7 linked regions of the Neurospora crassa OR74A genome follow. The protein of the gene in region 1 purifies or fractionates together with the protein of each later gene. This does not show direct contact. Links are inferred from orthologs where the notes say so. Each region holds a gene or a part of one and is shown in the gene's direction. Other genes may lie near its edges. The genes, in order: NCU02256, NCU04273, NCU03808, NCU07011, NCU02675, NCU01249 and NCU07041.

Region 1 (4,490 bases):
CTAAGTTCTAGCGCCCAGAAGCCAGAGTCCCCGAGCGCAACCCGACCTGGCTGCGACTGCACGGCACTCTGTAATGAACCGATTGGATGTTGGGGAGGATCCACTTCTCAAGGACGGGAAACCTTATTTGGAAGGGGAACATTCAACCGACTTGAAGTCATCCATGGCTTCCGTCCATAACAGAGAGCACTGAAAACAACTCAACAGAAGATATAATCAGAAAGGTACAGTCAAAGACCAGCGGGTGACACTTTTGGTACATGGGCTTTGTTCAAGACATGGAGGGTGTGCATAATGGAAAGTCCTTCCACGAATACCAGGCGATATATGATATATACGGAGAAGAGATAATTGAGCAATGTAAGGAGAATAACTGGATTGTTGCGGCTTTGTTCAAGGAGTTGGTCGACGAGTGGTACAGTAAGGTACTCAGACGTCGTCCAGCTCTGGTATTCTGAGCAAGTCAGTCATCCTTTCAACTTTGGCCATGTTCGTAAGCTCAAACTCACATTTTTTCTTGCCCATGTATGTTGAGTCGCTGTCCTTGAGTTCTTCCCGCGCCTCTTCAAGCAGCTTGTCGATGCCACGCTCTTTCAAAGCAACCTGTAAAATGCCATATGGTAAGCTATCTCGATGCTAGAGTACGGGCGCTGTATGGTTTTGCGTCCTACCTGCAGGCAAGAGCTATACTCCTTGAAGAGAATTGAACATTCGTTATTTTGTTCGGTACCATTGCCCCTAAGGTATTCTGTCCAGTATAAGTATCACACATGTCCACTGAGTTGGGGTGTCTGTTCCTGTAGACTTACTCTCACTGTACCATTTGAGAAAGCAAGTGTCGTAACGTCTACAACTGGTTAAGATGTTGTTTTCTTTCCGTATGAAGGACAAAAACTTACTCCTTGGCCTCGTTGCATTCCTTGGCGAGTGACTGGGACATCTTTAAAGTCCAGAGCTATGTTTTCAACCGTAGGTGTTGCCAACAAAACGATAGGCTTGGTACGGTGTCCGATGACTTATGGGTATCGACGGTATATCTATGTTTTGGGCAAAAGATCGTATAGAAGGGTGTTCGTGAGATACTCCAGGTGAATATTTTTGGTGGAAAAGACGGTTGTACGGAATCTCAAATATCAACGTTCACCGGTGAGTCCGCTTGGAAACCAACAAGTACCAGGTGCTATTCAACAATGGGGTTGCGGACTTCCACTTCGTCACAGGACGGATCTCAAAAGCCTGGACGCCGATGGATGAACGAACGTTGGTGGTCCAGATCAGCACAATCTTGGCTCTTGGCAAGCGCCCCCTTGGCCTTATGTAATCGGCTGCCCAAAGTCTCTCTACTTTAGTGCTTCTACTTCCCAGCATGGGCCATCAGGTACCTCTACCAGCGCAGAGCGGGAACAGCTCACTCGAGGCCCACTTGATGGCATCCATCGGGCAGCTTCCACTTTTCGAGGTCCCGTTCACTTTGGCGCTTTCTCCACAAGCCACATGCTGGGACTGTCCGCAAAAAAAGTTCCCAAAGAGCAGCAGAACGACAAACCATTTTTGGAAAATTGAACCGGGCTTCCACTTCCAGTGACGTCCACACCACAACGACTCCAGAACCACCGGCCAATATGGACGGCTCACTGGACTTCAAGAGCTTGAGGGAATCGCTCCAAGCCGCCCTGGTCGCTACGACCCGAACCGCCAACTCAATCGCCAGCGAGGATCTTCAGTTCCAGCGCACCGTCAACCCGACTGTCGGTGGTCAACTCGACAACAGCTCCGGCCGCCTTCTGTCCCTGGCCAACGGGCTCCTCAAGTCGACCGCGAATCTTACCGGCCAGAAGGTTGGCGCTCTTGAAGATGCCGACGACGTGGACATCCAATGGCGGAACATTGTCGACGTGATCGACTCGTTGCTCGAGAAAGCCGACACCTGCCTCGACGAGTACACCGGATTGATCAAGCGGAAGGATGCGCCTACCCCCGCCGACCAGGGCCGCGCCCAAAAACGCGTCAAGTCGTCTAACGATCGTCTTGACTGGTCCTTGAAGAGAGCCAACATTCTCAAACCACAGAATAACTTCGAGAAGAAGGTCGATAACTTCGCTACCGGTCCTTGGAAGCCTCTGTTGTCGTCCAAGCCTCATGCCAAGGTGTCACTGGAAGACAGCCTGACCACCTTTGTCGATGATGACAACAACACACAGTACGTCTAACCTTTCTTTCCAATATCATAAGAGCATGTCGCTAACATGAATCTCCCAGATACAAACACCCCTACGAAACCGAGATCAAGACGACACCGTACCCTGAGCATGTGTACAAGAAGCGCGAACCCAAGGAGTACCTTCCTATCGATTCGACATCCGCCATCTGGGTTGATACTTATGAGGGCGTCTTGGAGATGTTGGAGGAGCTCAAGCAGGCCAAGGAAATTGCGCTTGATCTGGAGCACCACGATTTTAGGTCTTACACCGGACTGTTGTCTCTCATGCAGATCAGTACCAGAGAGAAGGATTGGGTCATTGATACTCTTCAACCTTGGAGGCACAAGCTTGAGGTTCTGAATGAGGTTTTTGCGAACCCCAACATTGTCAAGGTGAGACACATCCTGGCCTTCTGCTTTCACTGTATTATCGACTAACTTGACCCAGGTTCTTCACGGTGCTTTCATGGATGTCATCTGGCTGCAGAGAGATCTTGGTCTCTACGTTGTAGGTCTCTTCGACACATATCATGCTTGCGCCGTTCTCGGGTACCCTGGAAGGAGCTTGGGTTATTTGCTTAGCAAGTTTGCCGAGTTCGAAGCCGACAAAAAGTATCAGCTTGCGGACTGGCGCATCAGACCTCTCCCCGAGGAGATGTTTTACTATGCGCGGTCGGATACCCACTACCTGCTCTACATCTTCGACATGATCATCAACGAGCTCGTGGAGCGCTCAACACCCGGAAAGCCGAAGCCTGACCTTCTCGAGCAGGTCCTCGAGAGGTCCAAGGATGTCGCCCTGCAACGATACGAGAACCTTAGCTACAACGTCGAAACCGGCCAGGGACCCCGCGGGTGGTATAATGTGCTGTTGAAGTCCCCAACGCTCTACAACGGCGAGCAGTTTGCCGTCTACAAGGCCGTACATCAATGGCGTGACAACTTGGCTCGTCGTGAGGACGAGAGTCCCTTCTTCTTTATGACACAGCAGGTTCTGGCCGACATTGCCCGGATACTCCCGACCGACAAGAAGGCTCTGTGGAGTATTCTGGATAGCAACGCCAAGGGCCTCAAGTCTCATTTGGATGATCTATTCGACGTCATTCAAAAGGCTAGGGAGGAAGGTGTGAACGGTCCCAAGATGATGGATATCTTCAAGAGCGAGTCATCTATCCTCGCCCCCGCCAAGATTGCTGCGGTCATCGCCGACGATAGCGACATTCCGGACGTCAAGGAGCTCAAAGCTGACCGGTCACAATTTTGGGGCGGCGTCACTCTGAGCTCAGTCTGGGACGGCACGGCTGCGAAGACTGCCAAGCTTGACGACGTGTTGGAAATCACCCTTCCGTATCCGGCCGACTTCATGGACGGATCTACGGCTGAGATGGAGGTGGATCAACCAGAAGAGGCGGTGCCAGAGCCCCAGCCGGCGCCGGAAGAGGTGATAGTCAACCAGGAATTCACTCTTAGGAACGGAGGCAAGCGCAAGCGCGAGGAAGAGTCTGAGGAAGAAGAGGAGGCCTCAGATGCCGAAATGGAGGATTCCGCGCCTCAGACCGAAACCGACGTGCAAACCGGTGGTGAAGCCGAAGGTGACGACTCCGACGAGGAAGAAGAGGAGGAGGAGGAAGAGGCAAGCGACAAGTCATCCAAGAAATCCAAAAAGGCAGCCAGGAAAGCGGCCAAGGAGAAGAAGAAGCAGGCCAAGGAAGCTCTCAAGGCCCAGCGAAGGGCAGAGAAGGCCGCCAAGAAGGAAGCAAAGAAGAAGGCGCAGGAAGAAGCTGCTGCTGCCGCTAAGCAGGCGGAGGGCGAGGAGAAGGAAGATCAGCCGTTTGATTACTCTCAGGCTGCGTCGGTGTTGCGTGCTCGCAAGACTCAGGAGGACGTCAAGAAGGCGAATAAGAGGTTTAACCCGTATGAAAACAAGTCTCAGGGAGGACCCAAGGGCGCAAGAGCGCATTACACGGCCAAGGCGGCTGGCAGGACGGCTACCTTTAAGAAGTGAGGAGCCGGCGGATGAGGAAGATGGAGGGCAAATAGGATAGATTATGGAACGATCAGTGCTGTGTTGGCCATTGATGCCACTTATTTTTTTTACTTGGACTATTATTATCGCGGTGCGTTTTAGTATATGCGACAGGAGAAGAGAAAGAGATGGCTTATGGTAGAGACATAGATACCAAGCAATAACTGATGACGGCCAAGAGACGTCGAGTTTTCATCCTGTTCTACAAAACGCTGAGCCACAGAAACCTTGCATCAAATTATACAGAGTCTCGACCGGTGTGAG
Region 2 (4,013 bases), on another chromosome or scaffold:
GTACACGTACGACGTGGACCGGTGGAGTCTTTGAGGACCTTTTGTCGGTCTTTTTTTTTTCTTCTTTTCAAGGCCGCCAGATCTCGCCAAGCCCTATCGGTGGTTCTCGGCACGTGAGGCCCCAAAAAGATGGTTTCGGGTACCAATTACCTCCACTTTTCCGGTCATCAAACGCAAAACGATGAGACTTTGTTGAAGCGACCGCGACAGGCCGTCAACGGTATGCAGTGTACAGCGCTACCAACCACGGTACGGCCAGCACCAAGGACCTTGGAAAACCCATTGTTGGCTTTTCCGCATCCTCTCGGCCTGCAGTGGGTGTTTTAGACAGGCGTTTGCCAACGCTGCCTCTGTTCCTGGCCCTTGCGCTTGGCGAGATGATGGACCGACATTGAGGCCGCGTGGCCCACCTGCCCACCCGATCAGCTCCCTTGACGATTCGCTCGATCCAGATCAAAGCTTCGGGGGGTTGATTCGAGCAACGTCAGCAACACGCTCATGTCGTTTCCGTTTCGATTCTGCGGGACTTTAATGGCCATCACTCTGGAACAACTTCCGAAGGATCTGATACCCTTTCATTGGGAGTGACTGACCTGGAGTTGAATGGGGCTTCTGCTTCCCATCGGAAGTGACTGTCCAGCTTTGTATAGCTCAGGGTTGCTATGTGGACTTAAGAGACTCCCTGCAAAGTAATATGTCCAACCGTCTTTCAAGAACCCAACAAGTACTCTGCTCAATATAGATGAGTTTGGCAGACGTGTCTACTACAGGTACTCTACACCGTGAGCTATTATTCATGGCAAGGGACATCCTGGCATTGATCAAGTGGAAGAGGGGCCAAGTCAGCATATTGGCATCATCGACTTGTGCTCGTGGCTACATTTGGCCCATTGCGTGGTGCTGTGGGCTGTCATTGTCGGGGAAATATTCCATCCATTTGTGACCAATGTACAAAAGTACGTGTACTGTACCATACTCCAGTTGATGAGTACCGAAATTCTGCACGCTGGTCTCGTACCTACCTTGCCGACCCAAGTACGGCTGCACTTCAAGACCTGTCATCGGAGCAAGACACGTTTGACACTATAAGATAGGGCCCATAGACATCGCATTAAAAAGGGGGCAATCATGCAAAGGGCAAGTCCCATCATGAAATGACGGCGGGAGATCTGAAAAGATGGCGGCTCTTTGCAAATTTGGCACGAGATTCAGAGGGGTATGAGTGGAGAACCCGAAAGTGGAGGTTGAAAGGTAGGTCCCGCCCGCTCCCCCGCATTTTGCGCGATGGAGACCCGACCAAGCCAAGCTCCGGACCCGCAACTGGAGCGAGGAACAGTGACCCCTTCCTTATCGCTTCGCTTATCGCAAAGTAAATTTTCCAAAATCTTGTGCTGCCAGCAATTGGGGAATCTCAGCGTCCATGCGCGGCTGTCCTCCTTCTGTAGACATTGCAAATTCGAGGAATCAACACCCTTGATTTTATTGCTATTTCCAACACTTTTCTTCCCTTGCCTATTGACACCATCTCGATCGATACGCTAAAGCCAGCCAGAATGGCAGCAACAAAAGACCTCGAAACCGCCTCCGCGCAGGACTCCGCTCCCGTCGACGCCATGGACACCACCGCCGATTTCGTTTCCGAGAAGAAGTCTAAGAAAGAAAAGAAGGAGAAGAAGGATAAATCCTCCAAGAAGCGCAAGGCCACAGAGGAGCCTGCCGAGTCCGCCGAGACTGTCGACACCATGGACACCACCGCCGATGCCGATGCCGCCGCCGCCTCCTCCGATGAGAAACCCAAGAAATCTTCCAAGAAGCGCAAGGCCGAGCTCACCGAAATCGAAATCGACGTCACCGCCCCCGAGCCTCCCTCCAAGAAAGCCAAGCGTCTGCTCAAGAAGGGCAAGACCCTCCCTACCAAGCCCTCCTCCGACAAGGGTGATGACTCCGACGACAACTCGGATAACGAAACCGCCACCGGAAAGGACGGCGACAAGGACAAGAAAAAGAAGAAGGAAAAGAAGGAACGGTCCCCCCACGGCGTCTGGATCGGCAACCTGCGCTTCACCGTCACCAAGAGCGAACTGAAGCAATGGCTCGTCGACAACAGCGGCGGCTCCATCACGCCCGAGTCCATCACGCGCGTGCACATGCCCACGGCCAAGGCGCAGCCCGGCCAGCCCAAGAAGGAGAAGCCCGAGAACCGCGGTTTCGCCTACGTCGACTTTGATTCGCTGGCCACCAAGGTCGCCGCCATTGCTCTCAGCGAGACCGAGTGGTACAAGCGCAAGCTGTTGATCAAGGACGCGACGTCGTTCGAGGGACGGCCGGAGAAGAAGAAGGAAGACGATGAGGATGCCAAGGGCGCTGCTGGTGGAAAGAAGGACGAGGCGCTAGTAGGCGGCAAGTTCGCCGGCTCAACCAAGATCTTTGTCGGCAACCTCTCGTTCGACACCACCGAGGACGACTTGCGCAACCACTTTGACAAGTGCGGCGCCATCCGGTGGGTCAAGGTGGCCACGTTCGAGGACAGCGGCAAGTGCAAGGGGTACGGGTGGGTGAACTTTGAGGAGGGCGAAGCCGCGCAGTGGGCGGTCAAGGGGTTCGTCAAGATCCGCGAGGAGATTCCCGAGTTGGAGGACTTTATGGATGAAGACCAAAAAGCCGAAGCCGAAGCCGCAGCCGACGGTGACAACGCCGACGCGGAAAAGACAAAGGAAAAGAAGGAAACGGAAAAGAGGATAAAGACCCGCAAGTGGTGGGTCAACCAGCTACATGGCCGCACCCTCAAGATCGAGTTGGCCGAGGACGACAAGACGAGATACGACAAGCGGTTCCGAGGCAAGGGCGCTGCGGGCGGCAAGAAGCAAGGACAAGACGGTGGTGAGAGGCCACAGAGGGTTCCTTACAAGAAGAGGGAAGAAGGCGGTAATGGTCAAATCAAGATGGCTCAGGATATCAGTGTTGCCAGACTTACTGGTGCGCCTGTTGCTCACCAGGGCAAGAAGACTACCTTTGAGTAAAATAGGACGAGTGTCCTGTCTATCTGGTCCGGGCTTTTTTTTTTCTTGGGTTCGGCGGAAGAGAGAGAAAAAATATGGGTTCAAAATCATGTCGCCACGGTTCAGTGTGTCCGGTGGTAACTTAATGTTGTCTTGTTTTAAGGTTGTGTCTTATATACCTATCTTGTTTCCATGTTGTGTGGGCTTAGACGGCTAGAGGAATCGAATTTGCGCTTCACCTCATACCTATATGCACATCGTGACGATCGCAAGTGTGTTCTACGTTCTGTCTTGCTGGTTTGCTAACACAGTCTTTCATCTCTCTGCAAAACATGACGCTCCAAGGAGATTACTCAAAATACATCCATGCCTCCATATGTATGCACGGTCGTGTTGTTTACGGCCGGCGATCGAAAAGGACCAAGAATTTCATGACGGAACATCTGTTTTAACACAATCTAGCTATTGAGCACAATCTGAGTGGCCGTAACGAGTTACAAGAGAAGTGAGGTCTACTCTAGATTATAAAGTGGTGAATTGCCAGTTTCATCCGAAGAAGAGATCAATGCGCAGCAGTGTAGTGTAAAGCAACGACACCGAGTACACTTCACGCCAGAGCCGTCGACTATGGTAATCCCTTGATTTCTCTCTAGACACTTGTTCTTTGGGACTTATCACATGAAGCACAGACTAAACAGAAGACAGTAGTAGGAGAGGGGAAATTTCCATAACAACGAGCTTACGTTGACAAAAGCAAAAAAAAAACTAGCAATTTAAAGCACCCATCAATTGACCCGAGCAACCCAACAAAACATTCCGTCCAAGCACTCCGTTATCCATGTTTCTCGTCACAATTCCTGATCCCAACATACAATGTTCGCAAAGCAAAACTACTTGTTGGGGCCGCTAACAGACTCTTCATCCGAGGCGTCAAGGATGTCATACTCCTCATCAGTCATGTAGGACTCGGACGCATCCTCGTCCCACTCAGCATCTTCACACTCCTCGTAATCT
Region 3 (4,364 bases), on another chromosome or scaffold:
CAAGTGGTGGTCCAAGCTCCGGGCTTGAGCCGCACCACGCACTCAAGCCACACCGTTCCTCTCGCTGCAATTGCTGTGTGCCAAGGCCAGCCTACCAGCTCGACAAGCCACATATTTCCGCTTCATCAAGCAGGGTTAGGGTCTATGGCTAAGCCTTGTCCCTCAGCTCGTCCACTTGAGCCCCTCTTGCCTTCAACATCATCCTATCATCCTATCATCCTGTTTGGATCCTTGCTCGAAATTGTCGATCTGCCTGGAGTCGCTTTTCGTTTGACACACATCTTTTGTGTTGCTGCAAGATCGGGCTCACTGCCCTCCATTGTTCTGTGTTCTACATCTCTAGGATTAAACTGGCCAGCAGCCCAGCCATCGTTCCCCTGTCTTCCCAGAACCTGCCTTAAGACAGACCAGCCCTCACTTACATCTTCTCAGCCGACCACATCCACCGAGTTGCGAACATGCTCATTCCCGATAACCACACATTTGGTTTCTACTCCCCGCTTCACCAGAACTGCTCATCGCGATAGCCTCAACTCGAACTTGTTACTGCGAGATATCGTTCACTCCATGACATTTACTATTAGAGGACTTGTTGTACCAACTCGACCACGTCATAGAAGGAGTCACTAGTAGTGGTGTCGACCTTCTCCAGGCCCAAACCAAGCAACAAAGACCGCTGCTCATTGGGGTTGCGCAAAGTCAGGAGACTGGCAATTTGACTGGCATAAAGCTGGCCCATGGTCTCCCTCTCCGCATTTCCACCTCCAAGAAGAGTCGTTGCTGTTAAATGTTCTGATGGTAACAGGCTACCGGCGCCAGGCAGAGCCATGTCTACTGACGCGGAAGAAGGTGCGGCTAGTTGTACTTGGACCTAGAACATGGTATGTTAGTAGACTGTAAGTGGGATGGCGTTCGGGCGCTCTTGAACCTACCCACTGAGCAAGGCGCCCACCTTGAGAAATGGTGACCATGATCTTGTCCGAGAAGTTCATTGATGAAACCTCAGTTTCCACTCCGTTGACAAGCCCAGTTGCCTGCCTGGAAGGTGACGGGAATGGCTCTTGCCTGACTGCGTCCTCAGACATGGTGAGTTCTGGATGTGGTGAAGTATGGACAGTTGCAAGACTCGAAAAACCGCGTGTGTTTCAAAGGATAAGACCGTAGGGGGATAACTTCGGCTTCTGTACTCCTGGTCGGATAGTACTCTCTGATGTCTCTACTGCGTTCATATTCAGAGTTTAGACGCGGGACTCCATCGTGATGTTTGTTGATGGAGCCGGAGTGGGCTGGGCTGCAGAGTTCAGGATGGACCCACGAAACATAGCAAACTGTACGCGCACTGTAGCTGGGTTACTTCAGTTGCTGTCCTGGACCCTCACAGGCCCCCAAAACGTGGGGTGCCACATTTAGCGCAGAAATTCTGCCAGGCGGACAAGATTTAATCTTCAAATCTTCAGGGTACTTGGTGACTTTCAGTTCGTTGCATTCTGCCGTCGCGACACCGGCCCTCATTTCTGCCGTCACTGCTCGCCTCGAGCACACCCGATAAAACAACAACATGGCTGTCATAGACGGGAAGTTCGTGCCGCGTCAGCGCAAGCGCAAGCAGCTTGATCGCCAGCGGTCGAGGAGTAAGGGAACACAAGACCCCGAAGACACCAACGTCCTCGAGATCGCTCCTGGACAGGAAACCACCACGGATGCCGAAAAGAAGAAGACCGAGCTACGGGAGGAATTGAGGCCTGCGGGTGTCAAGGTCAGCAGCAAGAAGGCCAAGAGACTCGAAAAGTACATCGACACAAAGCTCAAGAAGGACGAGAACCGCGAACTCCTGGCCAAGCTTGCCGCCAACAAGATCGACACCTCCCTATTCTCAAGCACAAAATCACTAGGCCAAACAAAATTGACCAAAAAGGAGGAGCTCAGCCGGCTTGTCAAGGAAGCAAAAGCTGGACTTATAACAGAGAAGGAGGCGGCCAAGAAACTTTACGAAAAGCGAGAGGTGAAGGAAGGTGCACCAGTACCAAAGCCTAAACCCACGGTCGACGAGGATTCAGAGGGCTCGGAAGATGAGCAGGACTCGGCAGCCGAGAAGCCAAGGAGCGCGCCAGCGGAAACAAGCGAGCCTACACCAGTACAAGCGACGACATCGTCAACAAGCCTGCCAGTACCTGTCGGTGCTGGTCTCAAGCGCCCCTTAGAGGTCGACGAGTCAGGACGCCCAATACTTGCCAAGAGACAAAAGAGAGGAGGTGTGAAAACGAAGCACAACTTTACATCATCGCAAGCTCCCGCAGTCATTCCTGTGCCGGAAGTGGTAGAATGGGACGGTTTCAGTTCGGAGGGCGAAGAGGGTTCAGACGATGAAGAGTCTGAGGGTAGTGGTTCAGGCAGCGAGGAAGAAGGCAGTGAAGAGGAGGAGGAGGAATCGGGAGAAGAGGATGGATCTGAAGAGAACGGAGAGGGTTCCGAAGATGATTCAGAAGACGATGATTCTGCGGAAGAATCCGACGAGGACATGGAGGACGCCGAGGAGGACAAGAAAGCAAAGTCTTCAGCCTTCAAGGCTTGGGCGCATCAGGCGAGGAACGAAGCTTTGGGTTACAAGCCTGCTGAATCAAGCATTCTCGAGATACCGAAACCTGCCAACTTTACGCCTCGGCCGATCGAACAAGAGCCTCTGCCTATCGAGCTGCAACCAACAAAGAACGATTCCCGCAAGGCTTTCGCCGTGGTAGTTACCAGGACACCCGAGATCCAGGAAACTCGTTTCAGGTTACCGGTTGTTGCAGAGGAACAGAAGATTATGGAGGCCATTCACGACAACGACATTGTCATCATTTGCGGTGCCACCGGTTCCGGCAAGACCACGCAGGTTCCCCAGTTCCTCTTCGAGTCCGGTTACGGTGTTCCGGATGGACCTACTCCTGGCATGATTGGTGTCACCCAGCCGAGACGTGTCGCTGCTGTCAGTATGTCGAAGCGTGTTGGCGAAGAAATGGGAGACTATTCACATGTGGTTTCCTACCAAATCAGATTCGAAGGCACCGTTGACTCCAAGACGGCCATCAAGTTCATGACGGATGGTGTCTTGCTTCGTGAGGCGGCCATCGATATTGCTCTTCGCAAGTACTCTGCCATCATCATTGATGAAGCCCACGAGAGAAGCGTCAATACCGATATCCTGATTGCGATGCTCAGCAGAGTGGTCAAGCTTAGGAGAGAGTTGGCGGAGGAAGACCCCACGATCAAGCCTCTCAAGCTGATCATCATGTCCGCCACCCTCAGGGTTGAGGAATTCACCCAAAACTCTAACTTGTTCCACACCACTCCTCGCATCATTGAGGTAGAAGGCCGTGAGCATGCTGTTACCATGCATTTTGCCAAAAAGACAAACCACGACTACGTTGATGAGGCATTCCGCAAGATTTGCAGGGGCCACAGGAAACTGCCCCCTGGTGGCATGCTTGTGTTCATGACCGGTCAGGGTGAAATTGCCCAGCTCAGCAAGCGGTTGAAGGCGCGTTTTGGTGGCGGTATGAACACCGCCAGCACCACCAAGGTGCGGATTTCTGCGAAGGAGGCACCCATGGAAGTCGAAGACATCGACTTTGGCGACGTTGAGGATGACCGTAACATCAACGACAGAGACGATGACGATATCTCCATTGCGTCGGACGAGGAGGAAGACAAGGAGTTCGAGATTGAGGACCAAGAATCTGGTACAGGGCCATTGAAGATGCATATCCTACCTCTCTTCTCTTTGCTCCCCACGAAAGAGCAGATGAAGGTGTTTGAGCCGCCCCCAGAGGGCCACCGTCTCGTCATCCTGGCTACCAACGTCGCTGAAACATCCTTGACAATTCCCGGCATCAAGTACGTTTTCGACACTGGAAGGTCGAAGGAGAGAAAGTTCGATCCTGTCAGTGGCGTCCAGAGTTTCGAGATTGGGTGGATCAGCAAGGCCAGCGCAAAGCAGCGTGCCGGTCGTGCCGGTCGTACCGGTCCGGGACACTGCTGGAGACTCTACTCCTCGGCCGTTTACGAAAGAGACTTCCCCGAGTTTTCAGAGCCCGAGTTGCTTCGCATGCCCATCGAGGGCGTTGTGCTCCAGCTCAAGTCCATGAACCTCCAGCATGTCGTCAACTTCCCCTTCCCCACGCCGCCACCGCGTGAGAGCTTGATCAAGGCCGAGAAGCTTTTGACCTACCTCAACGCCATCTCCCAAACTGGCCAAGTCACCCCCATCGGATCTACCATGTCCATCTTCCCGCTCTCTCCCCGCTTCGCTCGCATCCTTCTTATCGGACATCTCCACGACTGCCTTCCCTACACCGTTGCGCTCGTAGCCGGTCTCTCAGCCG
Region 4 (4,573 bases), on another chromosome or scaffold:
TCGGCTAGACTATTGTGATGCCGCCCAATGGACTCGATGTTGGGCGTCGCTTGGATTGGGAGAAAACGGGGAACTGCACTTCTTATTTGGTGGATGTCTAGACTAGACTGGACAGCTCCTCAAAGCAAATAAAGGATAAAAGAAAAAGGAAAGAAGATAGAGGTTAGAGCGATTGGGCCCCAATGGCTTTCAAGGTCCCAACTGAACTAAGCAATTGATAACCGCAAGTGTTTCGACGACGGGAGATGGGGATGTCAATCTGTCTTTGATCCTTTTCTTCTTCCCTTTTCCCCCTCCCTCTAGCTCCAGATGGATGTTTCAGTTGTCATCCAAGCACAGCTCATAAGAACAACATGTAATCATCAAGAAAGCCATTGGTACACAACTGGACAAAGGTGGATAGCTTTGTGGCGACACGAGCAGAGACAACAGCTAGGTAGGTAGCCCAAGTTGGGATGATGCCCAAGCGTTGTTTGCGCGGGGAGGGAGAAAGGAAAAAAAAAAAAAAAAAAAAAAAAAAAAAAAAAAAAAAAAAAAGAAAGAAAGCAAGAGGGAAAGGCGGCATGTGGGCAATTTCCATAAACGGACCCGGTAGTACCTACTAGTCCCAATTCTGAACGTCTACGTGTAAGTGCATCTGGATCCCACCATTAGTTCATTCCCTTACACCGGAGTTTTGGTAGCTCATGGCAGAAAGGCTGGCACTTTCTCGGGTACTACATGGCCATCAACCGAATGAATGGTCGTTAGAATACACTTTTCATGCTACCTTTGGAAACTAGACTAACTCTCAGGCAATTTTGCATGGAGAAATTCCCAGGTAACTCTGGCTGATGTCTTTTCGACTTTTTTTTTTACCATCCCTCTCGAAATTCTGTGATGGCCTTTCCTGACTAAAGCGAGCCGTGTTGGACTGTCTAATTCGGTTATATTTACAGCCACTTCGTCGTCATAACTGGAGGTCCAGTCTCTTTCGTCATTGGCGTGCTTGGATAGACACAGGAAAAAAAAAACCTCTCTAGTGATCGACAATGATGGACACCAAAGAGCCCATTGCGCGTTGACTACTGGTACCAGAAGGTGGGTGTCATGCCAAACTAAACCCTTGCTGGCGCCCTATGATATACTGCGATAGCCGCAGAGAAAATCCAGAAGAACGCTGAAGGTGGGTGTCATTGCGAACCGTATGCCGTGGTACCTCTATGGGTGGACGACCTGAGGTGGGTTCGATGGACGGGATGATGACGCCGCAGGCAACCTAGCATTTCGACGCTGAAGCGGACAGGGGATGGTGATGCTGTGCTGTGCTGTGCTGTGCTGTGTTTCACAAGCAAGAGCTTTTTCGCCCAGTTGGCGGGGCAGATGGAGGTGTGGGGTTTACTGCAGTTTGGAACACAGTCTCGACTTCTGCGATGATGGGAAACGGTAATCCCGGTAACTGAAAGGCTGCAAAATGCGGCCGGGATCGCAGGAGGTTCCTACTATGCAGTACACAGATACACAGTGCTGGATTTAAGCTCTGTGGGTCCTAGCCAGACGGTGGTCCCACATGCGTCCAGCTTTCATGCTACCCCACATGGCGAGGCAGACCAATCACATGAAGCTCCCACTTGCCTGCCCCAACCGACCCCAAACTGTGGCTGAAAATTTCTGGTCCACCGCGACAAGGCTACTATTATCGAAATCTTCAAACTGCGACTTTCAACAAGGCTTTGCAACTGAAAGGCATTCGCAGACATCGTGGTAGTTGGCAGCATATGCCACTCGACGACATGATGCCGCATTCCGATCGCGAAATCACATCCGCCAAGCGGCAGAAGCTCAATGCCTCTGTCGTCAAGTCCAAGGCGCCTCAGAAGAAGAAGAAGGGTTCCTCCATCTTTGCTCCCTTCAGAGTACGTCCCTAATAGCCGGTCGCATGAAGTCCTCAAACTAACACCAAACTCACCACTCATAGACTGTAGGCTTGGTATCTCCAACAAGCGTCCCCTTTACCTCCATCCCTCTCGGCAAGACCACCTTCCAGATCACTACCTCGGTCGGCCGCTCCCTCCAGACCTATGACCTAAAGAGAGGTCTCAATCTCGTCTTCGTTACCCGCCCCCAGACTCCCGCCGACATTACCGCCACATATGCTTGGAAGGAAAAGGTATTCGCCGCTTGGGGTAACCCTCAAAATGGCGAGGCCCAAGGTATCTGGGTTTATCAGCGCGGAAAGAAGGTAGCCGAGCTTGAGCTGCCCGCCGACCTCAACCAGCCCATCAAGCAGATCCTCATCTTCGGTTCCTGGATTGTTGCATGCGCCCAAACCCGCCTCGAAGTATGGAAGTCGGCCACCCTCGAACACTACACGACCATCTTTTCCGTTGCCGCAAAGAAGGGCGACAACGAGCTCACTGGTGGCGTAGTCAACATGCCTACCTTCCTCAACAAGATCTTGGTCGGTCGCAAGGACGGTTGGGTAGAGATCTGGAACGTCAGCACCGGCAAGCTCATCTACACCATCCTTCCGCCCTCTCCCGACGCTGGATCTGTCACCTGTATGGAGCCTACCCCGGCACTTTCGCTTCTCGCCATCGCCTACTCGAACGGCCCTCTCGTCATCCACAACGTCCTTACCGACAAGGCCTCCCTCAAGTTGATGGCCGGATCCGAACACGCCCCCGTTACAAGCATCTCCTTCCGAACCGACGGTCAGGGTGCTGGTCAAGATGGTACAAAAGATGGCGTCATGGCTACCGCCACAAGCATTGGTGGAGATGTCACATTCTGGGATCTCAACAAGGGCGGCAGAGTGATGGGTGTACTCCGGAGCGCCCATAATCCCCCATCACACACCGACAAGACTGTGCGCGGAGGCATCAGCAAGGTTGAGTTCCTCCCAGGACAGCCCGTTATCATGACCAGTGGTTTGGACAACTCGCTCAAGTCCTGGATCTTCGACGAATCGCCCTTCTCGCCCGTCCCCCGTATCCTTCACATGCGCAGCGGCCATGCCGCCCCCGTCAACTGCCTGCAATTCTTGCCAACCGATTTCGATGGCGCCGAGGCCGGCAACAAGTGGCTTCTCAGTGGTGGCAAGGACAGGAGTCTGTGGGGCTGGAGTTTGCGCCGCGATGGCCAGAGCTCTGAGCTCAGTCAGGGTGCTCTTCGCAAAAAGGCCAAGAAGGTGGGTATTCTTGCTAATACCGCCCTCGGCGGCCACGGCCCGACTACATCTTTGGACGACCTCAAGGCTCCCGAAATCACATGCATCGCCTCCTCGCTCAACCGCGATGGCGGCATGGGCGCTATGCCCGGTAGGCAGGTCATCTGGGACAAGGGCAATGACAAGAGCAAGCCGACCAAGTCCGAGCTCGCTGCTATGACCGGCTGGGAAAGCGTAGTAACAGCTCATAAGAACGACCCCTGGGCTCGCACCTGGTTCTGGGGCCGCAAGCGTGCTGGTAGGTGGGCGTTCAAGACCGGAGATGGCGAAAATGTTTCTACCGTGGCTATCAGCCCTTGCGGCAGTTTCGCTCTTGTTGGCTCCGTTGGTGGTAGCTTAGACATGTTCAACCTCCAATCCGGCCGTCACAAGCAACGCTTCCCCTCCCGACTCACTCCCGCCCAGATGCGCCAGTTGAAGATGCAGCAACTTAAGGCTCTCGACAAGGTGAGCCAGCTCGAGAAGCGCGCCTCCTCCAAGACCTCCTTTGCCCCCGGCTCGGGCAAGCACACCAAGTCCGTAACCGGCATCGTGGTCGACCCGCTAAACCGCTTCGTGATTTCCTGCTCTCTCGACGGCACCGTCAAGTTCTGGGACTTTGTCACGGGCAACCTAGTCGACGAGATTGACTGGGCGCCCATGGTGCAGATCACGGGCTGTCGCTACCACGCCGGCAACGATCTCATCGCTTTCGCGTGCGACGACAATTCGATCCGCGTTGTCGACATCGAGACCAAGCAGACCATCAGAGAGTTCTGGGGCTGCCGCGACACCATTAACGACTTCACCTTCTCCAACGACGGCCGGTGGATCGTGGCCGCCTCGCAGGACCGCGTCGTCCGCGTCTGGGACCTGCCGACGGCTCACCTCATCGACGCCTTCCGGCTCGAGAAACCCTGCACCGCCATCGCCTTTTCCAACACGGGCGAATACCTCGCCGGCGCCACCGAGGGCGAGCTGGGCGTGCACATCTGGACCAACAGAACGCTGTTCAGACACGTGCCGACCAGACAAATATCCGAGAAAGACATTGCCGAAATCTCGGCCGGACCTACCAGCTCAGGCGAGGGCGGTCAAGGTCTCATCGAGGCGGCCTTTGAGGATGAACAGGAGGACGAAGAAGATGAGGGCGTGTCTGCGCCGGTCCTCGATCAGCTCAGCGCCGACATGGTGACGCTCAGTCTGGTGCCCAAAAGCAGGTGGCAGACGCTGCTGCACATTGACCTGATCAAGCAGCGCAACAAGCCCAAGGAGCCGCCCAAGGCGCCTGAGAAGGCGCCCTTCTTTTTGCCTTCGCTCCGGGATGGGACGACGAACCCACTGCTGTTGACGGAGGGCGAAAAGAAGGATGAGGAGGAGAGCCGA
Region 5 (3,776 bases), on another chromosome or scaffold:
CTCCTTTGCTGCCAAAGCCCGGACGATGGGTATCATGATGCGCGGGTTAGGCGATTCTGAGGACTTGAGAAGAGTATCCGCAGCTCTCATCGCGCGGTCGGTATCTCCGTGGAGACTGCACATGCGTACTCCCAGCTCATAGTACCCTTTGAATGTTTCTGGTTTGGAGCCGATGGTGACCACGGCTTTCTTCCACGCTTCGATAGCCTCCTCTTGCCAGCCTTCGAGAAACATGGCCTCAATCGCAAGAAGCTGTTGCGAGTCTCTCAGCACCACCCCCGCAGCTTGCATGTCCTTCGCCAAAACGTAGATGTGATGCATCCGGTTCGGATTTTCTACGCCTTCCCCTTCGTGTGACAAAATCATCCACAGAAAATCCCACACCTCGCGCGGCACGTTGGTCCATTGGGTGGCTAATGAACTGCGTGCTGCAGAGTAGTACTTCCAGCAGTCGAACAGGTCTTTCGGCTTGGGGACGCCGCCCTTGACGACGCTGTCGCGCGCAAGGAAGGAGTTCAAGTTGGCTACGGCTCGCTGCCGCACTCCGCTGAAGCCTGGAATGCGCAGTACGCCGTATGACTCGCCTTCTGGACCCGTCTTGCCCTTGTATTTCTCCCTGAGAATCTTTTTGAACTGTTTTCGTAGCTCCTCAGCCTTGTCCTGTTCGGAACCCCCGACCTTCTCCAGGCTATCGAGCATTTGTATTGTCTGGACCATTTTCTGCTCCAAGTCGTTAATGGCCTCGGAAATCTCGCTATCGATGCCGCCACTAACGGCGCCAAACTCGGCACCGTCGCGCAGCTGTCGGTATTGCCCTTCGGTCTCTTCGTTGAAGTAGTTGACCGCAAGGGGTTCGGTTGGACCTTCGTCGGTGTCGGTGGGTTCTCCCTTCTGCGCCTCCCGTAGGAGGGCTTCTTGGAACCTCTGTGCTTGCTCTTCCTCCAGCTGCTTAGTCGTCGTTGGCGCACGTTGTCTGCGAGCGGCGCGGGCCGCACTCGAAGCGTTTCTCGTCAGCCATGGCTGTGGATTTGGGCGGGCTCGTCCTATGCTAGCGATGCATGACTGGCAAACATAGCTGCTTGTTCGACTCAATTCAAGCGCAAATGCTCGGGGAGGCATCGGTGGTTGTTTCGTGTGTCGGGTGGGCTATGGCAGTGTGCTGTAAAGAATGAAGAAAATCATGAGGAGCAATGAAAGAGTTGGAGATGTGGAAGCCAGGTAGAACTGCGGAGGTAGAAGGATTGTGGTGAACTGGAACTTGAAGGTGTGTTCGTCAACTTTTCGTGATGGCGAGAAGCCGGCAACACTTTGTCCTACAGCAGCACGTCCTGGAAGGAACAGCGGCCATCATCGCCCCACCATGCGCTTGCTGCCGCTGTGACTTTTTCTTATCACGCCCCTGCAGTTCCTTATCGACGCGCAGCTCCTGTCGAATAAGTCTTAGGTACCATTTCACCGCCCGGCAGAAACAGCGGGATCCTCCAAAAATTCTGGAGAAAAGCGAATTGGAACGGGGAGACCTGCAGCGCTCGCAAAGGAGCTTTCCAATTCAGAATCATTCGCCATTAAAACCGCGACATACCCATTCATCCATCACCGACGACCACTGCCCGACGAGTTGGGGCGCGATCGCCTACGAAGAATTCAAAAGACTAGGAAATTACACTTTCACACGACTGAGCCCAGGACAGCGTGAAACCAACGACCTGACAACCGCCACCATGTCGGGCGAGAAAACCGACTTCATTCGCTTTACGGGGCACCGCGCCTTCACGCACCGGATCGTTCTCTCGACCCTTACCGGCCGCCCAGTGCACATTTCCAAGATCCGCAGCAGCTCGGCCACACATCCAGGTCTTGCGCCCCACGAAGTCTCCTTCCTGCGCCTTATCGAGGCCATCACCAACGGCTCCGTCATCGATGTCTCGTATTCGGGCACCACCATTACATACCAGCCCGGTTTGATCACCGGCACGGTCGCGGGCGTCAACGCCGGCGCCGTTGGCGACGTAGTCGAGCACACCCTGCCCGCCAACAACACGCGCGGCATCACCTACTTCCTCCTCCCGCTTGCCCTACTCGCGCCCTTCTCCAAAGCCCACATGAACGTCCGCTTCACTGGCCCCGGCGTCATCACCTCGGCCACCCACCTGACCGGCGACATTTCGGTTGACTCCTTTCGCACGGCCGTGCTCCCGTTGTATGGAATGTTCGGCATCCCGCCAGCGCGCATCGAGCTGCGCGTGCTCTCGCGCTCTTGTTCCGGCCCCGGCGGCCGTGGCGGTGGCGGCGTGGTCGAGCTTCGCTTCGCCAGTCAGGTTCGCCTGCCCAAGACACTGCATCTGAATCGGCGCCCCGGCAGGATACGGCGGATTCGCGGCGTGGCGTATTGCACGGGCGTGTCGGCCAGCCACAACAACCGCATGATCACGGCGGCGCGCGGCGTGCTCAACCAGCTGGTCTCGGACGTGCACGTGGCCGCGCAGTACGACCCGGCGCCGCTGGTCGGCGACAAGAGTGGTGCCAAGAAGAAGATCGGTATCGGTTTTGGCCTCAGCTTGGTGGCGGAGTCGAGCGCGGACGGCGTGCTTTACTCGGCTGATGTGGTAGCGCCGCCCGAGGGTGGTGTCGTGCCCGAGGATATAGGCGCAAGGTGCGCGTACCAGCTGCTGGAGGTTATCGCACAGGGAGGTTGCGTCAGTAACGTATCGGCACCGACCTTGCTTACACTGATGGCAATGGGATCGGAGGATGTGGGTCGCCTCAGGTTAGGCAGGGAAGTATTGGCTAGGGAGGAGACAATAGGGCTAGCACGAGACTTGAAGAAATTCGGAGCGGCCAGCTGGGGCATAAGGGATGTCGACGATGACGGTGAGACGACTGATCTAGTAGTCTCGGTCAAGGGTACGGGCGTTGGTAATGTGGGAAGGAAGGTAGCGTAAAGAATTATAAACCGGATGCTTTCTTTTTTGTTGCATGTTCAAGCTCTGTTAGGTCATACTTTTGCTGTATCAAATTCGCTTTCGTGGGTCTCGGCACTAAGTATTAGTGTGTACAAATGCTTTTCCATCATATCCCCCGTCTGGCCGCTCTATTCGTAATCCCAGCAATTCCTCTAACTCCCCGGTTGCCAGCAACGGCGGCCGCATGGAAACCAATGCTTTGGACCGTGTAAGCCGCAGCCGTCTGGTAGTCATTCCCTACCGTACGTATGGCGTGTACCGGATGAAAGCTACCCACACTGGCATTGCCTGACCTCATCACGTCAAACAAGTCTATGCCGGCAGATGCTGGAGAATAGTTGGACCCCAGCCGCTGTTCATCATCCTGCCCCTGACCGCCACGGCTTTCTGCCACCAGGCGGTCTGTTTCGGTCCCTTCTCCATCGCCTAGAGCCATCTCATCTTCCCTATTCACGCCCCGTTCTTCCGCATCCAAAGTCTGGGAAGTCTCCGGCTGGCGCACGCCGTCGCTACCTGATGCCCCCGTCTGCTGTCCAACCTGACCGGGACCAGCCCAGAGAGGTTGTAAGGAGGGATTCACAACCTTGCGCAGCTTCTCCCGCTCCGTATGGATAGCCAACATCAAGCACTGGATAGCCAGTATCACCGCATCGAAGAACAAAGGACCTAGCCTCGTCGTTGGTGGCTTCTGCCCAACGAAGTCGACTATCACGCCCCCGTGTAGATACCCGCGCGTCGCTTCGCCGGCGACTGGTGGTGCAGAGATGATGTGTGCAAGGATGCATATCAAATTCGGTCCGAGGATGGCAAAGA
Region 6 (4,262 bases), on another chromosome or scaffold:
TGGTGGTGTTCCTCCTTCAACAGCTTGTGGCTTTCACCTTGCTTTGGGGGCAAGAGTGCTACCTGTGCTGAAGCGGGATAGACGGGTATTGTCGCTGCCTTGTAAACGCAAACGGTGGTGATCTTGCTGGTGATGAGAGACTTTGGGTTGGACTTGAACCTCTGAACTTTTGCGCTTAGAACAACAAGCACGTCTCCGGCGCCGACTTCGGGCATCCGTGCCTCGGGGCGGAAGATGACGAGCTCAACTCCGGCCGATTCATCTTCAATGGACAGGTCAGATATGGTCAGGGTGCACTTCCAGTCCGATCCGTGTGTCGCGACGGGTGCTCGGCAGTCCTTAAGAACACCAATGACATTGACCATGGACCCGGGCTGGGCATCACCGTCATCGTCGAGAATGGCTCGTAGGGGTGTGAGCGTTGACGGAAAAAGTGGTGGCTTTGCCTTGGCCGCCGGTTTCCTGTCTCTGAGCGGGCGCATCATCTGGATATCCCAACTCTCCGTTCCGATTACATGGCGGCGGATGAGTATGTGGATGAAACACCACCAGCGGTTGGTCGTGATACTTACCAACCGTTGTAGGGCAACTTGGGGACTTCAGTGTTATACGTCGTACATTACGCGTTCACTTTACGCGTCTTGAAAGCGGAAATGGCACCTGCCCAATCGCCAAGTTTGCGCGACCGCATGTGCAGGGCAAGGGTCTTGGCCGCCCGTCGGGCCAGACCATCAGACTTGAAGCGCTGTGCTTTCAGCAAGCCTTGCAGGGCTACGGTAATGGTTAGACGCATGGTCTGTGCTTTCTCTTACCTACCCAGTATAGTCATGAGGGGTCGGGGACTCCCGAACAGGACCTTGCAGGCCAGCCTCCCAACACAACCTAAAGCCTGGAGGTAGCAAAGACGTATCTACCTAGCTCAGACGGTGGGAGGTTGAGAGCGGCCTTTTGACGTCGTTCTTTCAAGTAACTGAAACATGTCGTAGTCATTCAGGGAAACGAAAAGCTTGCGGCTCGACGGACGCGGCCTGAGGTCGATGAAGTTATGACGGGCAGTGTGTAACCTGCAAACAATCCATGACGTTCACAAGCAAAATGGAAGGAATGAGAAGAATGCCTGGAGGGTCCAGCCGCTCTGAGGTGGGGCCACCCAATGGTGGACAAGTTCCTGCACTCCAAGAACAGCGGACAAGTTACAAAGCTGCTCATGTGGCCTGTGCTCGAGCTTGGCTCTTCCATCCCCACTTTCAGAAGCCAAACTCTTTTCGCTACAGTTGGTGCCAGCATTGGGCGCTGTGGGCAGTGACTGGGCCACCTTCAGGCCTGAGGGGCAGCTGTGACTGAGTGGCAGGCAGGGCACAGTGACTGCCTGCACTTGGACTTCACTTTCGTGGAGGTGGAAAGTGCTGGTAGAGGAGGGGACAAGCCGCCGCCGCATTCTTGTTTCCGCTTTCTGCTCGAGGCGCGGGCGAACTCCCAAATTCTTTCATCGTCGCTCCTCAAAAAACACACAACTCGCCTGCCCCATCCATCCCCAAAACCCAATCCTTCTCTGACGTTTTCCGTCTCGCCGACAACGCACCCATACTTTTCTCCGTCCCATTCAGGATTGCTTTGGCAGGACCGTATCAACCGGGCTCTTCCAATTCTCCGGCTTTTCTTGATCGCATATACCTCCCTTTGAACGGCTCGCAGCAACTTCGTCGCCGGGGCTTCATCGATTGCATCGCCCCTCGTTTGCCGCCTTCATATCACACCTCCATCACCCATCCGTCTAGACACCGTCGTCTCGACATCGCGTCGCAACCATGGCTGACCGATACATTCCCGAGCATCGTCGCACCCAGTTCAAGGCCAAGAGTGCTTTCAAGCCCGATGAGCTTCGTCGCCGTCGTGAGGAACAGCAGGTCGAAATTCGCAAGGCGAAGCGCGAGGAGAACTTGGCCAAGAGGCGCGGTATTGGTGCTGGCGACTCGCGGCCTGGAGCTTCCCTTGGTGCCGCCCCCGACAGTGACGATGAGAACCCTCCCACCGAGTCTCAGGTATGCAAACCTCTATCTTACTCCCCTTACATGATCGGCCACAATTTTGCTACTGCGTCCGTCCATCGCCTCTCCCTTCTCTCCCCCACGTGTACCCCGCCGATGATGGTGATGCTTGAGCCACAAACCCCCAGGCAGTGCCGAACCTGCATTCAAGCTGCGCGCGCAAACTCGAACATTGTACAAACGAAAACCACCCCACATTCCGTCACGTCCCCGATCTTTGTTATAGTTGATCTCCACATGCTAACCCAGTTGTCATAGTTGAGCGAGGACCTTCCCAAGATGGTCGAGGGTGTCTTCTCCAGTGAGATCGATAAGCAAATTCAGGCGACCACTAAGTTCAGAAAGCTGCTCAGCAAGGAGCGCAACCCTCCCATTGAGGAGGTTATCAAGACCGGCGTCGTTGGTCGCTTCGTCGAGTTCCTCCGCTCCCCCCACACCCTGGTCCAGTTCGAGGCCGCTTGGGCCCTTACCAACATTGCTTCGGGCTCTGCCACTCAAACCCAGGTTGTCATCGAAGCTGGTGCTGTTCCCATCTTCGTCGAGCTTCTCGGAAGCCCCGAGCCTGATGTGCGTGAACAGGCTGTTTGGGCTCTCGGCAATATTGCTGGCGATAGCCCTCAATGCCGTGATTACGTTCTAAGCTGCGGTGCTCTGCGTCCTTTGTTGACCCTCCTTGGTGATAGCCGCAAACTTAGCATGCTCAGGAATGCTACCTGGACTCTTAGTAACTTCTGCCGTGGCAAGACTCCTCAGCCCGACTGGAACACGGTTAGTTCTCTCGATCACGAACAATCTAGTATGTCTACTGATCCATCATAGATCGCCCCTGCTTTGCCAGTTCTCGCCAAGCTCGTCTACTCGCTCGACGACGAGGTTCTTATTGACGCTTGCTGGGCCATCTCCTACCTCTCGGATGGATCCAACGACAAAATCCAGGCGGTTATTGAGGCTGGCATTCCCAGGCGTCTTGTTGAGCTCCTCATGCATGCTTCCACCTCTGTCCAGACGCCCGCGCTTCGATCCGTTGGCAACATTGTGACGGGAGACGATGTTCAGACCCAGGTTATCATTAACTGCGGTGCCCTTCCCTGCCTCCTGTCGCTTCTGAGCTCCAACAAGGATGGCATCCGCAAGGAGGCTTGCTGGACCATCAGCAACATTACTGCTGGAAACTCGGCTCAGATCCAATCTGTCATTGACGCCAACATCATCCCTCCTTTGATCCACCTTCTCTCCCATGCCGACCTCAAGACTCGTAAGGAGGCCTGCTGGGCTATCAGCAACGCGACTTCGGGTGGTCTCCAGAAGCCCGATCAGATCAGATACTTGGTTGCTCAAGGCTGCATCAAGCCGCTCTGCGACCTTCTGGCTTGCCCTGACAACAAGATTATCCAGGTTGCCCTGGATGGTCTTGAGAATATTCTCAAGGTTGGCGAGCTCGACAAGAACGCCGCTGGCGATGGCCCTGACTCGATCAACCGTTATGCCCTATTTATCGAGGAATGCGGAGGAATGGAGAAGATTCACGACTGCCAGACGAACGCCAACGAGGAGATCTACATGAAGGCGTACAACATCATTGAAAAGTACTTCTCCGACGAGGACGAGGCCGGTGATGAGGCCATGGGCGCTCAGCAGCAGTTTGGATTCGGTGCTTCCGGTGGTGCCCAGCAGGGTGGCTTCAACTTCGGTGCTAACGGCACCGAGTCGATGGACATGTAAAATGCTGTACAATCCGTCTAGTTCTTTTTACGAAGGGGATGGTTGGGTTAAAGATTGGGATGAGGGGACCCAGATGTGATGTTGATCACGGCACCATCTGGGAAATCCTACCATAAACATCTTACCCCATCAGCCTTTCGGCTCCCCCATACGAGTTCATTCGCCCAAACACAAGTCACAACACGGCAGAACTATATTGCTTCAATCTCATAGTGCCCCCTCACGCTTATTCACCACACCATACCCCTTGAATTGGCGTTATCAAAGTTATGTTTAAAAGAGAAAGGCGAGGATAAGTAGACGCACATGGAGGCCGATTGGTCCTTTGGTGCGAAAGCTCGAACCTGATGAGGACACGATGATGCGTTTTATGATGAAGGGAGAGTAAATCAAAGGGTCTGAATGGTAGCTTGAAAGCTCCAACCCTATAGCCATGTTCGGACGCGCAGTGATCAAGCCAAGGAGAAGGGAGCGGGAGCCTCGGGGCCGATG
Region 7 (3,949 bases), on another chromosome or scaffold:
CAGCTCCAACTCGGTGGGTGGTGTAAATGATGTTGGATATTGCGGATGAATAAGGGGAAGAAGGCCCGGAGATCGAGTCGAAGCCAGCTTGACTTTCACGGCGGTTGAAGGCGGCGTCGGTGCCAATTGACCCACTCGTGGTGGATGCGAGCGAGACCGTGGGCCCGTGACCGGGATTGCCAACTTCGGGATCGAGACTGCGCAGGCGGAGGGAGGTGCGGGTGTGTGGTGGTCGAGGTCAACGTCCCAGAAATGACGTCTGTGCTTATGATGAATTCGATTTGTTTCTTTTCCTTTTCTCTTCTTCTCAAGGATAGACAACGACAATTGCCGTCGATCTTGGCAAAGGTCACAAGAAGCAGCGATACCTGAAGGTCTTGGGGTTCGGGATAAAGACCGACGCCAGGGATACGAAGGGGAAATCGAAGGGAGTAGTGTAGAATGTCGCGGGGCCGAAGAAGAAAAAGAAGGGGAAGATGTTGCAGGGACGGAAGGAGTTCTGATTCTTGGCGACACAAAACCGAACCTACCCCTTTCTGACGGAAAACGTTGATGGATTTCGAAACCTCGTGCACGGAATGCTGTAATCCGTGGCGTACCACAGTGCAGATTGTGCTTGCCCGATCATGATGACCACAGCGCGCCAGGGTCGTCAGATCTTTGCAGGTTCTCATTGGGCGAACCTGGGATGATTTCTTGGTTCTTCAGCTGGAAAACCAACGACGAACGTTATCCAGCCTTACCGCGACTTTATCACGGCGAACCTGAAAATTGCTGCTGTTAAGTTCGTCAACTTTGACTCGGGCGGGATTCGATGCTTCACCATCAATTACTTCAGCGTATCTTGAACACCTTGGTGAGATTTTACCGACGGTACAGGTGTCAACAATGGCCCTGCTGGGAGTATACAAATCACGTTGAGACCCCAGCAAGTCAAAACGCTCTTGTCGCCAATCCCACCATGGCATATCAAGACCTTTTGATGTCGCCAGCACGTGTGATTTCTTGTTGATGTTCCGTGCCGTGCCGTGCAAGCCCCTGTCATGATAAGCTAGTATGTAGATAAGATAACATCTACAACCTGGGGGGAAAAAACAGCTGAAAGGAGCAGATGGCCAAGAGTACTTGGATAGACTCGTTGCGAAGTACAGCAGGACAGTAATGACAGAACCAAACTTCCACCTCGCTGAGATTTGAAATAACTGAATCCGGTCGTTTTCTTATATTTGCTCCTTTTTTATGCTGTTGTCGTCCTCAATGAAAATACCAGGTTCCAAAAGTTACAACTTCCATGCAAGTGGAAGTTCCAGTTATCAGATAAGGAGCTGCCCCTGCATCTGCCAGCTGGCCGCTGATCCTGTCGCGCTTCTGCAGCCGGAACTCAACCTGCAAGAAGCGCCGCGCCCCCACTCTTACCAGCTGCGGCAGGCTTGTGTTCCAAAAATTTCCATCCGTGCAGCGCGATTCGGCTGGCCATCTTGCCATACAATCCCTTCAACAAGCCATTTATCAAATCCAACCACCAGACCCAAGTCGCTCGCCCTGATATCGTGACCTGTCGCACAACCTCAATCGAGACCTCTGATTATTCATAAACATCAACAGCCCACAAGAGCCCCGAGAAACACATTTACAGCCAAAATGCCGTCCACACACAAGAAGGAGAAGCCGTGGGATACAGACGACATCGACAAGTGGAAGGTCGACCCTTTCACCAAGGACGAATCCTCCGGCCCCTTCCTCGAGGAGTCTTCGTTTATGACCCTATTCCCCAAGTACCGCGAGCGTTATCTACGAGACTCGTGGCCACTCATCACCAAGGCCCTCGACAAGCACGGCATCACCGCAGTTCTCGATTTGGTGGAGGGTTCCATGACAGTGAAGACGACAAGAAAGGTACGGCGGATGCGTTTGTTGTCTTTATAGTCACCACTCTTTGCTAACTCACGTCCAGACATATGACCCCGCAGCTATTCTTAACGCCCGCGATCTCATCAAGTTGCTCGCCCGTTCAGTACCAGCCCCACAAGCGATCAAAATTCTCGAAGATGGCATGGCCTGCGACATCATCAAGATCCGCAGCATGGTACGGAACAAGGAGCGTTTTGTTAAGAGGCGCCAAAGAATTCTCGGACAGAACGGCACAACGCTCAAGGCTCTCGAGCTTCTCACACAAACATATATCCTCGTGCACGGAAACACAGTGTCGGTAATGGGTCCTTTCAAGGGTCTGAAGGAGGTGAGGAGGGTTGTTGAGGACACCATGAACAACGTTCACCCAATTTACATGATTAAGGAGTTGATGTAAGTTTTGCGCCTGCACGCCCACTTGCGACGCCCCACAACAACAATAACTGACATGAGAAAACAGGATCAAACGCGAACTCGCAAAGGACCCCGCTCTTGCCCACGAAGACTGGTCTCGTTACCTCCCCAACTTCAAGAAGCGCACGCTTTCCAAGCGCCGCGTCCCCCACGTCGTCAACGACAAGACCAAGAAGAACTATACACCCTTCCCCCCTGCGCCCGAGAAGAGCAAGGTGGATCTCCAGATCGAGTCCGGCGAATACTTTCTCGGCAAGGAGGCCAAGCAGCGGGTGGCGGAGCAGGAGCGCGCAGAGAAGGCCAAGCAGAAGAAGGAGGAGAAGAAGCGCGAGCGCGAGAAGGAGTATGTGCCGCCCGAGGAGTTGACGGACAAGAAGGCCAAGAAGAGGAAGACGAGCGACTAAGCTGGTACAAGTGGTGCAATCCAAAATATGGGGGCGGTGGAGGTGGAAATGGAGTTGAGGAAGACGATGATGAAGAGAAAGAGAAAGGATCCTGGAATCCCATGATACCCATACTTCAGCAGACGATTGAGATTTCTCCTGCTTCGGGATCCAAGGGTGATCTGGTTGCTAAATTTCACCAAAAGCCTTTGTCAAATGTGTTATCAAAAACAATGACTTGTCCAGAAAAGATGTCGGTTCTTGAATCTGTCGACATTTCGAAACCCAAGGCCGAAACAAAACCCGATGACGATCGCGAATAAAGCCCGATGTGGCAGACCCGCACCACAACCGGGCTGCTCCACCCCGGCGGATCGCAAACCAGGGGCATCACAAGGCGGGCCGAGGCAGTTGCATCATTGGAGCGGGATCCGGCAACGAATGCGGGGGAGAGTGGGGGCGGCCATTGGTCGGTGGCAGGGTTGGTGGGAGAGGCTCAATGACAGAGTGACAACACCCCTTTCCCCGGGTCCAATTGATAACAAATCTGGCCGATGTCGCAACTGATTTAAACTTGATGACCCTTTCCTTCTTTCACTTCTTGAACATACTTCAACACTCATCCAGTGGATTGGCCTCGGTAAAACACAACCCACACATAAACACAACGCCAAGATGCCTCTCCAACTCACTGTCAAGAAAATTGACGGTAAACCCGGCCAGGTTTACTACCCGTAAGTGTTTTGTTCTTCCTCTTCACATAACCTCACCTTTCTTCTCCCCCATACATATCCCCATCACCACCACCAACCAACTCACTCCCACCATCCTCCCCGCATGACTAACCCTCGGCCTCCCCATCTAGCCTCCAACTAAACACCATCCCCAAACCAACCCCCGGCCCCGGCGAGCTTCTCATCCGCCTCCGGTCCTGCGCCCTCAACCACCGCGACCTCTTCATCCGCCAACACCTCTACCCCGGCATCTCCTTCGAGCAACCTTTTCTCGCTGACGGCTACGGCGTCGTCGAGTCCACTGGCCCTTCCGTCTCCCCTGCCGCTTCCCAGCTCGTCGGCAAACCCGTCCTCATCACCCCCAGCCGCGGATGGATTTCCTCCCCCGACGGGCCCGACGACCCCAACCAGCCCTGGACGGTCATTGGCTCATCTCAGTTGACCGACGCCGGCACGGGGCAGGAGTACATTGTTGTTCCCGAGGCGGAGGCAGTACCCGCGCCAGAG

The links.
Region 2: the proteins of NCU02256 (region 1) and NCU04273 purify together in Saccharomyces cerevisiae (affinity purification with mass spectrometry; 3 studies listed by BioGRID). This does not show direct contact. The link is inferred for Neurospora crassa OR74A from reciprocal best matches to the Saccharomyces cerevisiae genes RRP6 and NOP13.
Region 3: the proteins of NCU02256 (region 1) and NCU03808 purify together in Saccharomyces cerevisiae (affinity purification with mass spectrometry; 3 studies listed by BioGRID). This does not show direct contact. The link is inferred for Neurospora crassa OR74A from reciprocal best matches to the Saccharomyces cerevisiae genes RRP6 and ECM16.
Region 4: the proteins of NCU02256 (region 1) and NCU07011 purify together in Saccharomyces cerevisiae (affinity purification with mass spectrometry; 3 studies listed by BioGRID). This does not show direct contact. The link is inferred for Neurospora crassa OR74A from reciprocal best matches to the Saccharomyces cerevisiae genes RRP6 and UTP21.
Region 5: the proteins of NCU02256 (region 1) and NCU02675 purify together in Saccharomyces cerevisiae (affinity purification with mass spectrometry; 3 studies listed by BioGRID). This does not show direct contact. The link is inferred for Neurospora crassa OR74A from reciprocal best matches to the Saccharomyces cerevisiae genes RRP6 and RCL1.
Region 6: the proteins of NCU02256 (region 1) and NCU01249 purify together in Saccharomyces cerevisiae (affinity purification with mass spectrometry; 8 studies listed by BioGRID, with this or other methods). This does not show direct contact. The link is inferred for Neurospora crassa OR74A from reciprocal best matches to the Saccharomyces cerevisiae genes RRP6 and SRP1.
Region 7: the proteins of NCU02256 (region 1) and NCU07041 purify together in Saccharomyces cerevisiae (affinity purification with mass spectrometry; 3 studies listed by BioGRID). This does not show direct contact. The link is inferred for Neurospora crassa OR74A from reciprocal best matches to the Saccharomyces cerevisiae genes RRP6 and KRR1.

What each region holds. Positions count from the first base shown.
Region 1 is NC_026507.1:3,162,711-3,167,200, reverse strand, and holds NCU02256 (exosome complex exonuclease Rrp6), read left to right. Parts: upstream 1-1,489; 5' UTR 1,490-1,622; coding exon 1,623-2,200; intron 2,201-2,259; coding exon 2,260-2,593; intron 2,594-2,648; coding exon 2,649-4,205; 3' UTR 4,206-4,453; downstream 4,454-4,490. Other genes in the region: NCU17251 (hypothetical protein), read right to left, coding at 453-454, 510-603, 672-748, 810-847, 900-940. UniProt on the Saccharomyces cerevisiae protein: Nuclear-specific catalytic component of the RNA exosome complex which has 3'->5' exoribonuclease activity and participates in a multitude of cellular RNA processing and degradation events.
Region 2 is NC_026505.1:5,456,847-5,460,859, reverse strand, and holds NCU04273 (RNA-binding protein), read left to right. Parts: upstream 1-1,369; 5' UTR 1,370-1,553; coding exon 1,554-3,020; 3' UTR 3,021-3,238; downstream 3,239-4,013. Other genes in the region: NCU04272 (ZZ type zinc finger domain-containing protein, variant), read right to left, coding at 3,890-4,013.
Region 3 is NC_026505.1:2,474,076-2,478,439, forward strand, and holds the start of NCU03808 (pre-mRNA-splicing factor ATP-dependent RNA helicase PRP16), read left to right. Parts: upstream 1-1,489; 5' UTR 1,490-1,558; coding exon 1,559-4,364. Other genes in the region: NCU03807 (hypothetical protein), read right to left, coding at 581-871, 933-1,085. UniProt on the Saccharomyces cerevisiae protein: Probable ATP-binding RNA helicase. Required for 18S rRNA synthesis. May play a role in restructuring of the pre-rRNA.
Region 4 is NC_026504.1:4,898,118-4,902,690, forward strand, and holds the start of NCU07011 (WD repeat containing protein 36), read left to right. Parts: upstream 1-1,693; 5' UTR 1,694-1,757; coding exon 1,758-1,895; intron 1,896-1,957; coding exon 1,958-4,573. UniProt on the Saccharomyces cerevisiae protein: Involved in nucleolar processing of pre-18S ribosomal RNA and ribosome assembly.
Region 5 is NC_026501.1:3,164,195-3,167,970, forward strand, and holds NCU02675 (RNA-3'-phosphate cyclase), read left to right. Parts: upstream 1-1,521; 5' UTR 1,522-1,721; coding exon 1,722-2,942; 3' UTR 2,943-3,037; downstream 3,038-3,776. Other genes in the region: NCU02674 (hypothetical protein), read right to left, coding at 1-1,119; NCU02676 (hypothetical protein), read right to left, coding at 3,070-3,776. UniProt on the Saccharomyces cerevisiae protein: Does not have cyclase activity. Plays a role in 40S-ribosomal-subunit biogenesis in the early pre-rRNA processing steps at sites A0, A1 and A2 that are required for proper maturation of the 18S RNA. RCL1 activates BMS1 by promoting GDP/GTP exchange.
Region 6 is NC_026505.1:3,366,299-3,370,560, forward strand, and holds the start of NCU01249 (importin alpha subunit), read left to right. Parts: upstream 1-1,462; 5' UTR 1,463-1,808; coding exon 1,809-2,042; intron 2,043-2,306; coding exon 2,307-2,816; intron 2,817-2,867; coding exon 2,868-3,770; 3' UTR 3,771-4,262. Other genes in the region: NCU01248 (hypothetical protein), read right to left, coding at 1-485. UniProt on the Saccharomyces cerevisiae protein: Functions in nuclear protein import as an adapter protein for importin beta nuclear receptors. Binds specifically and directly to substrates containing either a simple or bipartite NLS motif. Promotes docking of import substrates to the nuclear envelope.
Region 7 is NC_026504.1:4,998,458-5,002,406, forward strand, and holds NCU07041 (90S preribosome/SSU processome component KRR1), read left to right. Parts: upstream 1-1,462; 5' UTR 1,463-1,641; coding exon 1,642-1,896; intron 1,897-1,954; coding exon 1,955-2,304; intron 2,305-2,371; coding exon 2,372-2,729; 3' UTR 2,730-3,236; downstream 3,237-3,949. Other genes in the region: NCU07042 (alcohol dehydrogenase), read left to right, coding at 3,384-3,442, 3,574-3,949. UniProt on the Saccharomyces cerevisiae protein: Required for 40S ribosome biogenesis. Involved in nucleolar processing of pre-18S ribosomal RNA and ribosome assembly. Essential for vegetative growth.